Schizosaccharomyces pombe: one gene and its partner. The gene in region 1 interacts genetically with each later gene. Each region holds a gene or a part of one and is shown on either strand. Other genes may lie near its edges.

Evidence for each region.
Region 2: mutations in mib1 (region 1) and kap114 together harm fitness less than expected from each alone (positive genetic interaction), as found in Schizosaccharomyces pombe (one large-scale study listed by BioGRID).

What each region holds. Positions count from the first base shown.
Region 1 is NC_003421.2:835,803-840,543, forward strand, and holds mib1 (DNAJC11 family protein), read left to right. Parts: upstream 1-1,682; 5' UTR 1,683-1,802; coding exon 1,803-1,856; intron 1,857-1,917; coding exon 1,918-3,131; exon of another isoform or gene 3,132-3,181; coding exon 3,182-3,602; exon of another isoform or gene 3,603-3,659; coding exon 3,660-3,789; exon of another isoform or gene 3,790-3,792; intron 3,793-3,835; coding exon 3,836-3,855; 3' UTR 3,856-4,159; downstream 4,160-4,741. Other genes in the region: spore wall alpha-1,4-glucan synthase, meiotic Mok14, read left to right, coding at 4,160-4,741.
Region 2 is NC_003424.3:2,372,552-2,378,312, forward strand, and holds kap114 (karyopherin/importin beta family nuclear import signal receptor Kap14), read right to left. Parts: upstream 4,002-5,761; 5' UTR 3,835-4,001; coding exon 3,729-3,834; intron 3,673-3,728; coding exon 1,451-3,672; intron 1,411-1,450; coding exon 1,241-1,410; intron 1,220-1,240; exon of another isoform or gene 1,194-1,219; coding exon 1,075-1,193; exon of another isoform or gene 1,033-1,074; coding exon 862-1,032; exon of another isoform or gene 826-861; coding exon 752-825; exon of another isoform or gene 713-751; coding exon 593-712; 3' UTR 501-592; downstream 1-500. Other genes in the region: ppa3 (protein phosphatase type 2A), read left to right, coding at 4,804-4,964, 5,031-5,101, 5,214-5,761. UniProt on the Schizosaccharomyces pombe protein: Required for nuclear protein import and mediates docking of import substrate to distinct nucleoporins. Serves a receptor for nuclear localization signals. Mediates the nuclear import of TATA-binding protein (TBP) and of histones H2A and H2B.

The sequences.
Region 1 (4,741 bases):
ATAAAGGAGTGGAAATTGTGGGTCAAGAAATTATCAATGCAGTACCAGTATTGAATAAACAAAAATCTATGAAGAAAGAAAGCGGAAGTGCAAGAGCCGACTTTACGTCGAATGAAGGGACCACGTTAAAATTTTTCAAATGTACGTCCGAATTGACGCTAGTCTCCTTAGAAACCTTCGTTTTCTTGCAAAAGATTGTAAAACCTGTTTAGCGGTGTAGTTTGTTGAAGGATGGATACGCTGGTAGCAACAAAATACTAGGCGTAGGTAAACAATCTAATATATCAGCGTTCGAATCCGGCTGCCATCACATTTTATTTAACCCGTTTAGCAAATAGATGAGGTGCTTAATCAACAATAACGACGACAACCTCTGAGCTTCACGAATATGCTAAATTTATAGCGCTTCACTAAATCGTATACCGGTTCGCGCTAAATAAAAACTGATGCTTAAATTCAAATTTCTGTGTTAGTAAAAGAGCAGATAAAGCGAGGATAAAAATGTAGGATGTTGATTAAGACTCTAAATAGAGTAGCGCAGAGAATAATACTAAATACTGAAAGACCGATCCCGTTAAACTAATATCAAATCCATAGCATCAAACAGAGGTTTGTATTATGTATCCTATGAACTATCCTCATCAATAATTGCTTATTATAATATAACATAAACATATACAACTTTCGTGTAACTAGCCAAGGACTACTATAAGTAATATGGTTTATTCATACAATGCTAGTTCCTATACCTATAGAAATTCGTTTCCTGCTGAGCTTATTTTAAGCTATGGGTAAGCGAGTCAAAAACCAAAGACGCTATTTGTAAAATGGCAAACGAAATTAGGTATTCTTGTTTTAATTATAAGCTTAAGAGACATTTGACATCTCGTTGGTAGTAATAGAAACTTGTTTTTTAACTTGTTCCATTCGCTTTAATGATAGCTGCACTGCCCTTGGTACTTTATTCTTGAAACTTTTTAGATTTTTTATATATCACAAAGCTTTTTCTAGTTCACCATTCTCAATTTTAGTGCTTCCTTAATCTAATAGTTGGTTTTGTACGCTGAATTGGTTTCGCATTTAAAAGTGCATTAGTACGTTTTTGAGAATCAAGTATAAGACATTTCAAGTAAATTGAAAAATTCCTGTCAGTAATACTTTATATCTAAGTCAAATGGTGTCATCTGATAATAAAATCCCTCAACAGTATTATTTATCAAACGAAAAATGTCATTAGTCATGAAAAGCTTCATTCGCTTATTTGTTTTGAAATTAAGAATGAAAGTTATGACTACATATCAATTCATTAAGCTGATATCTTTAGTATGCAATCCATTATTTTATACCATCTCCACTTTTTGTAAATCATTAAACATAATATCTAAAGCCAATTTAGCATTATTCAAATTCGAGACTTATTATTTTAAGTTTGTCTTAGAATTTCATAGTTTGCAAACTGTGTAAAATGAAATACGCATGGGTTTGGCAATTATACAAAAAGCTGCTCCCGAGCACAATTAGTTTAACTAGTAAACTCATGCTTTTCGAAATGGCATCAAAGCCAAGATAATTTGATCATATAAAGTTTTATTATTTAAAAGTTCCTATATTAAAATACTGCTATAGCTCACTCTAATCCTACAACCTACATCAAACTTTACATTACCTTGGTCACTTATAGTGAGCACATACCTTGATCATACATATGTCTGCACGATCCATACTCTAATCTGTGGTTTCTGAAAATTTACACGTAAATTAAGATAATTTGAAGTAATTTATTTTAAAATAAAAGATTAGTCATGGATGAAGCGGATTCTTGGGAGCTTTATTTGGCTCTTGGACTTCCCAAAGATGTAAGTATAAATAATCTCATTTGGGAATGCATATTTTATTAACATTTCCTTTAAACTCTAGGCTACAAGTGACCAAATAAAAGAATCATATTACAGACTATCAAGACTGTTTCATCCTGATCGTCACACTGCTGACCAGAAGGCAGCAGCTGAGGAAAAGTTTCAAATTATACAACATGCTTACGAAGTATTATCTGATCCATCAAAAAAAGAGATTTATGACAATTTTGGAGAACAAGGATTGAAAACAGATTGGAATGTTGGATTTCCAGGGAAATCAGCTGAAGAGCTTAAAAACAAAATAAGGGAGCAAATTCAGGAAAGAGATATCCATGAAATCGATTCTTTGGTGCAGAGTCGTTCTGAGACTACGATAGTGGTCAATATGACCCCCTTGTTTGCCAGAAATATTCGAGTTCAGAATGCTCTTGGTTTAGGTGCTGGTACTAGAATGCTGACCCCTTATGAACGATTTTCCTTAATCCAGTGGGTATCTTTTCAAATTAAAAGCTCTTTCTCTATTCCAACATCGTTTTCCAATGACCTCAAAAAGCCGTCTTTCAATTCTTTTTCCTCAGGCTCTTTTGATGATGAATTTTCCGCGCCTTCAGATGAAGATGAAGGCAACCATAAAACATCCTCTCGTTTATCTATAGTCACTGAAGCATCAATGAGACAAAACTCAAAGCTTCAACCTTCCATTTTTGCCGTTTATCATTCTCAGCCCTCTCCTAACCTTAGTTCTGAAATTGGATTTTCTCTTTTGAGGCCAGGTTTAATTACCGTCAAGTCAGTGTACGCTATCAATAACCAAACTTTTATTGTCCCTCTTATTCAAATATCGGGTCTAAAGCGTCCCCCGCAAGCCACCGTAGTCATCGGACGACAAATCACTCGCTTTGGTACTCTTACAGCACGCTGGAAAACTGGTGTGTGGTCACTTGGTTCTTGGGGAATTGCTTCCCCTCGTGGAGCGAATTCCTCATTTTCACTTACTTGGCAGCAAATGAAAGCTATTCCAAATAGTTTGGTCCCTCAACTCAGTTGGAACGCTGAAGTTACTGCTGGTTTAATGTATAGCGGTATTGCTTACAACTATAATTTAAAAAATGCAACTGAGGACTCACCATATCAAATCAAACTCGGGACTTCGATGAGTACAGTAGGAGGTCTTCAGGTTTCCGGTGATACGAGTCGTAAAGTTGGCCGTTATTCAACCTTTGGAGTAAATATTTCAGTTGGTGTCCCAACTGGCTCTATTACGTTTAGTCTTAAGTATGTTCATTTCTCGATTTCTTCTCAACTACAAATACTAATTTTTTTAGTTGGTCACGCCTTGGTCAAAAGATTTCTCTTCCTATTATGTGGTGTAGTGTGTTTGATCGTTCTGCAGTCTTTTGGGGTCTCGTATTTCCGATTACTTCTATACTTGGAGTTGAGCAATTTTTCCTCCGTCCCAGGCGACTTTCCAATCAGAAAAGACTGCGCTTATTACGATTACAAAAACTTAAGGATTCTCAAGAACGCAAGAAAGTTTCTGCAATTCGAGCTGTTAAATTGATGAAGGAAATTGTAGAGAAAAAACAGAAATTGGAAATGGAGAAAGGCGGTCTGGTTATTGAGTATGCCGAGTACCGAGTCGTTAATTGCGGTGCAAACGAACCTGATTTAAAGCAAGATGTGACTATATCAATTGCTGCTTTAGTTGAAAACTCTCGTTTAGCTATCCCTTCTAGTGTTTCAAAGGTAAAACTATGTCGCTTAACATTTCATTTTTGTTTTGATTGCTAACTGTTGATTTAGTCGTCAATTATCGGAATATATCCATTATTTTCTGACAATGAAAAAGAATTGGAAATTGTTTATACTTTTCATCAGCAGCGGCATCGTGTTGTTCTCCGTGACAAGCAAGGTGTTTTTTTGCCTAGTCGAGGTATGCTCTCATATAATCATATTAAACATGTATTAACATCCACAAGAACACAAAATTTTGTCTTAAATGATACGTCTTTATTAAACAATCATTGTTTACATTTTCGCTAAATTAGCTCCTATCACATTTTTTTGTTTGTTTATGTTTTGGCATTTTTGAGTATAAATATTACAACGATTGATCACCGTCTTCCCAGAGCATAACCCTTTCCTTTACTAACACAAGTAAATTTATATTTCTTTTGCTTTGGCAAAAAAGATAATAGCTTGCTTCAAGGGTGACTTACTGTCGAACTTGTTCTCATCTAGCCGGGTTGCTATTTGTGTCTTAGGCACATTTCCTCTTTTGGAAATTTTGATAGAAAATCAGGATGAATATAAAGAAAAAGAGCTTTCTCTTTCAATTTTTGTTCGGATGGATTGTACTGTCTTCGGCTCAATGGCTATCGGTTTTGGATGAGGCAGAGAATTTGAACTCTTCTTTTTCATTAGAAAGTGTTGATTCTTTTGCTCCAGTAAGACCAAGGTTTATAATCGATGAAGACTTTGCTGAAGATTACAACCTTACTGTTGATATCTTGCATCGTCCACTTCAGGAAAATTTCGATTCTTTCTTTCCAAACGTTGAAGCGTATGTTGAAAGTGGAAATTCTAATGGTGATTTGATGAGCGACAATGGTAAACTAGATGATTTAAATTCTCGAGCGGCCTATTCTGCCCTTAAAGCCCTTCAAAACTCTTATGGATCATCCCATCTTTATCGCTTTACACCCTATGAATTGTTTGGGCAATCTATTTGGATTGAAGAAGCACCTGAAGTGAATCATGTCGGTTGGTCTATTATGTTCGATAACCTTGGCCGTTACTTTTTACTAGAGTTGCGCGGTCTACGCGAGGTTACTTTTGCTTTGTTTATTACTTTTTCAATCGTTCCTATTATTACAGGAATCCTT
Region 2 (5,761 bases), on another chromosome or scaffold:
GTTTTCTTTTGACTATGGATTCCCTTGATTTTACGAAATAATCCCGTTCCTTTTTGTGACTTTTACCTTTCGGTAGCTTGCTGACCTGGTGTTTCTTGAATTTTTGCATAGATATACGGTGGCATATTTTAATGCCGATTTACCTAATTTTGTTCTTTTTCAGTCTTAATTATTTTCATATTGAAATGCTCATTTACTTGTGCCATATTAATCTCCAGATAAGACCTTATTTCATGCTCGTTTATCTGCACTTTGTTAATAATTACCATCATACTCTCTCCAATAAAATGGTAATTATTGGTATTATATAACCTTGTTTTTATGTTTATAATGAACTAAGTTTGTCTGTTTATTTTAATTTAAAAAATGTATCTTTTGAAAGAATTAATTTACCAACTTTATTCTTCATATACTTTAGTCCCTTTCAGCTTAAATAATCCTTTTGACCTTATACCTAGAGCCTTAAGTACTCTGAAAGGTATAATTTTACCCTACTTTCCTTTTAATGCACATGATATTAGTAAATGTTATAGTGCAAGTAAACTATTGGAAATCGTTCAGGTATTCTTGATTTTTTAAATCCTTTACACCTTTATTTTTCTTTAATTTGAACGAGCGCATCCTGTTCTTCCTGAGGTAGTCTAAAAACAACCTCGTTGATATTGTGCAGATTGCTTTTCATAGCTTCCTTAAAAAACTCTAGAAGATAAAACTAAAAATGTTAGCCCTAAAAACCAAAACTTTAACCCACCTGCAAATCAGTATTATCCTCATCTTCTGAATTGTCTACGCCAGAAAATTCATCTTTGGACAATTCGTTAACATCTATTGTTAGCCTTTTCTTTTAAAGGTCTCGCGTACCATTAGCTGATAGCCCAAACGTCTCTGCACTGATAGGACCGTCATCCCAATCATCCGCTCCATCATCGGAAACTTCTTCAACAATTGCATCTTTAGACAACGAAACAAATTCCTCTGAAAGTAGTCGCAATATTTTTTCTCCAACGCTTACATATGAATATTCCTCGGGATCTAGTTTTGGTTAATGAAAACTATCAAAAGCTTTTAACATACGAAGTTTAGACTGCGACCGGGTTATAATGCGATTAGAATGAGAGATAAGTTCACCTTTAACTTGAACTGAATCAAGTAGAGGACTGTCAAAAGAATAAATTTTAGTCATAGCAATACAACTTTCAGGTTAGAATTTATATAAGCATCAAATAATATAAGGACATACATTATAGAAATGTTTTTGAAGTTGCTAAAATAAACAAAGTTGTCACACCAAACGGTCATAAGTACTTCAAAAGCCGTTAGCCCTTGTTCATTTAATAAAGACGATGTCAAGAAGTGCATCATTCCCAAAGAGTCCTTAACAATTAATTTGGCAAAAACGTAAATTATACTCTAAATAAAAGTCAGAAACAGGTATTCAATAAGAACTTACTTGAATAAACCGTGGTTGTTCAGCTATTGCCAATCTCTTAATGCAAGAAAGAAGAATGGACTGAAGATCGACCATTTGACTTGCGTGATCAGCCAATTCAAGTAAGATAGGCCCAACTAAAAAGCAGGCGGAATCATCACTCTCTTTGTCAAGTAACTGATGCAAAATAAAAAGAATGTATTGAAAGCCACTACTACCTGAAATCTCCGTTTCCAATAATTGTGGTGTGTCCTTTTCCAAAAGCCCCTTAAGAATTTCCTGAGATAACTGAAGCAGTTCTGTGTCTCCAGAATGAATTTGAGTAATCTTATAAACAGGGGGCAAGACATATCCAACAAATCCATTAGGAAGTGGTGAAGGACCTGCACGAATCAAACAAGAAAGCAAGGTAGCCCCAATATTAACCATAATCGGGTCTTCTTGATTCAGGACCTGTAATAGTTCTGGCAAAGTAATTTCACACATACTTTCATAGTTATTTGCCGCATGGATAATGTCCTCAAAGGTGTCTTCAATAATTCCACAGATGTAAGGATCAGAAGCGTTCGTAGCAACCAAATTAAATAGAAGTGGAATAACAGAATTACCTAATTCAGCAGCCTTTGCACAATCAAGTTTTACCGCAGAAGAAATAGCTTCCACAAGTAATACAAGAGCTTCATCGCTTGACTTCGAAGCATACTGAGAAAGAACTTCCAAAATCATCGGCTGCAAAGAAAGTATCGGTTTGACTTTTCCGACTGAACAAAAGCGCTCAATAGCTTTCATAGCAGCATACTGTACAGTATCAACTTGTAAAGCATTAACCAAATTATTCATTATTATTTGGAAAAATTGAGAGGCTACTACGGTGCTTTCAGAGAAATATCCGATAAAGAGGAAAAACCTAGAAAGAAGTAAAATTGGAGCATCGGAGTAATCAATACGGACTTTGATAGCCTCGTATATGGGGTCCAAGTAATCATCATAAGTGTCATCTGAAGCAGCATCCACGGAACAACATGCATACAAGAGGGCTTCTTGATATATCCAATTGATTTCATTGTTTAATATGTAAGTCGCGGACATTTCTCGTAGACTTTGCTGGATTGGTAAAGTGGTATGCTCTTCAAATGCACTTAGTACGCTGATGGCGGCACCGCGAACCGTATCACTAGCAAAATCCATAGAAAATTCGTTTGCGATATATTCACTGACATCGCTTTCATATACTTCAATTTGATGCTTAGGTAGTTGCGTATATTGCACCAGAAGTGGAATGCAAGGAGGTAAAGGAGGTACGGGGACCGTATTACTGACAAACAAGTTTTGAACAAACTTGCTTTGCAAAGCTACAGAAACGAATAGCAGTAGTTCAACTAAATAACGAATAGGGTATTTATCACCAAATGCTGAATCATCTAAACCATCGCTAAAAACAACTTCTCGTATATATGGATCTAGTAACTTTTCTATAATATTCCAAACAAGTTCGACGAAGGTCACAACGTACGGTGTCAATTTAGAAGGAAACAATTCGCGAAGTTTTGTAAGAGTCATAGCAATTTCTCCCATGATACAAAAATAACCACAGGAATCAGGTAAAATAACTTGTCGATCATCAACGAGGGAAACTTCAAACTTGTGCGAGAACATATCCATCCAAGGGGGAAGTATTTGTTCAAGAAATACACGAACATGTTCAGCTTTCGTTTCTTTATAAATCTCAATAAGTTCTAGGCAAGAACGAAACAGTTTAATTCCTCTAGCTTGCAACATCCTCATGGAATCATTAGGGGGAGCGGAAAATATAAACTGATAGAGAATGGATGCAAGTTGAGGTGCAATAATAAAGAACTGTTCTTCAACAAGGGACTCATCTACAAGCTCGTCCAGAACATCCAGTGAAGCATTAATAGAGTTTTCATTAGTAGATTGTAAAAGATGCAGAACGGCCGGTACAACTTCTGGCCATTCATCGGGATAATCCACGTTTGCAATTAGAGAAACAGCATATGCCACAGCCTTGATTAAAGTGAAATTGTCAAGGCTCACTAAAAGATGTAATAGTGTTTCTCTGACATGTTTTTTGACATTTTCATCGGGTATCGGTCCATCTTGAAATTGCTCAAACAGTGGAGACCAATGGTGAACAATATATCTTTGTAAATAAATGAGAGAACCTTGTCTTAAAGGAACAGAAGCACCAGAAGATGCGATATCTGTTAACTTCGCAGCAAAATCTTCGTAAAAGATAGTTAGTAATTTTTTCGGTTAGTTTATAGCTTAAGTAGCATACCGTGATATTTCTCAAGGTCTCGTAACCCCAATTCGGCTTGTATTCTTGAATTAGGATCAGCAGATTGCACTTGTTCAAGCAGCTTAATGATTTTGCTTTCAACCATTTAGCGTGATAATAGACGTTAAACAATTGGTAGGTTTTGATGCTATCTGCTTAAAGAAAGTAGATAATAATAAATATATTTATGTACAGACGGGTATAGTTAACCCCTTAAAAATGGCTGTATTTAATAATTTTTTATGCAGGTATAATGCAGGTACTACTAAGAGTGAAATGTTACTAGGAAATTCATGTTCAAAGAAGTGGATGGTAAATAGGTGACATTGTCACTTAAATTGCTAATGTCTAACAAAATAGTGTTAATTGAAACAATAATTGCTTGTATTGTTGTTCATTTAAAAAAAAAATTAAAAAGAAAGGCCATGTAACTATTACTATTTTCATTCTTGATTTTCCTTATATTTTAATGTATTGCATAACTGAGTTTTTTAATGACCGACTGATCTTTGAATACAAGAATATACCTAATCAATTATCGCTTATTTTCAACCGAAATATTTATCTGATGGTCTGAAACGAGAGAAGCACTAAACCTTTTCAGCAGAAGAGACAGATATTCATATAGAATGTCTGAAAGAATTTTAACACGTTTTTCAAGCATTATGTAATTTTTGTTCTTTGGGTATACCATTAGAGGCTTTCTTAACTTAAAATCTCATTGGCGAACTACACAGTATTATGTATTAATCGTGTAGTTTCGATCACTGACAAGTCAGAAACCAACCTCCAAATTTCATAAAACTGACACATACAACATTTTAGTGGAATTTTTCTAATGCGTGCAAATAAAGAGAAGTAACGCGTAAGCTTTCCATATAAGAAGTGCTTAATCCTTTGTTTTTCGAAGCGTATCCGGTCAAAGCCGATTAGACTGATACAAACCTTGGGTGAAATTTTCCCTAGCCAAGCACTGTTTGTGTCTTCTTAAATTATATATATCCAATACAAAACGGTGCAAGACATTGTTTTTGTATTTTAATAAATCTCACTAGTTTCACGGAAATTCCTAAAGATGATTGACCTCGATAACATAATAGAGAGATTATATGAAAAACAATTGATTGCTGAGTCCGTTATTGCTTATCTTTGTTCTCTCGCAAAGGAAGTTTTAATGCAAGAAAGCAATGTTGTCAGGTTGTCTACTCCCATTACCGTGGTTGGTGATATTCATGGGTATGCATAGATTCAATATTGCAAAAAGTTCATTCTTTGTGGACATTCTGCTTACAAAGTATATAGCCAATTTGATGATCTACTTGAAATCTTTCGTATAGGAGGCCCATGCCCATACACAAACTATCTTTTTCTCGGTAAGTTAAAATGATGTTCATTAGAATCACATTAGCTGATTACTACAAATCATTAAAACTGAACATTGAGAACACAGCACATGCTTTATTATTCGTTGCTAACTATTTGAAGGTGATTATGTTGATCGGGGCTATTATAGTATAGAAACTATAACCCTTTTGATATGTCTCAAGTTACGGTATCCAAAGAGGATTACTCTTTTGCGCGGAAACCATGAGTCCAGAGGAATAACCCAAACCTATGGATTTTATTCAGAATGCTTAAGAAAATACGGTAATGCTAATGTTTGGAAATATTTTACCGATATCTTTGATTTCCTAACACTTTCTGCAACAATTGATGACACTATTTTTTGTGTTCATGGTGGACTTTCTCCTAGTATTCAGCACATAGATCAAATCCTTGTCTTAGACAGGTTTAGAGAATTCCCACACGAGGGACCTATGGCCGATCTCGTGTGGTCGGATCCGGATCCTAGCGTGCAAGAATTTTCACTTTCGCCCCGTGGTGCAGGTTTTTCTTTCGGTGAAGTTATTGTAACAAAATTTCTAGAATACAACAATATGAAGCACATCTTACGAGCTCATCAACTATGCAGCGAAGGTTATCAAATATTGTTTGAAAAAAAATTATCGACAGTGTGGTCTGCCCCAAATTAC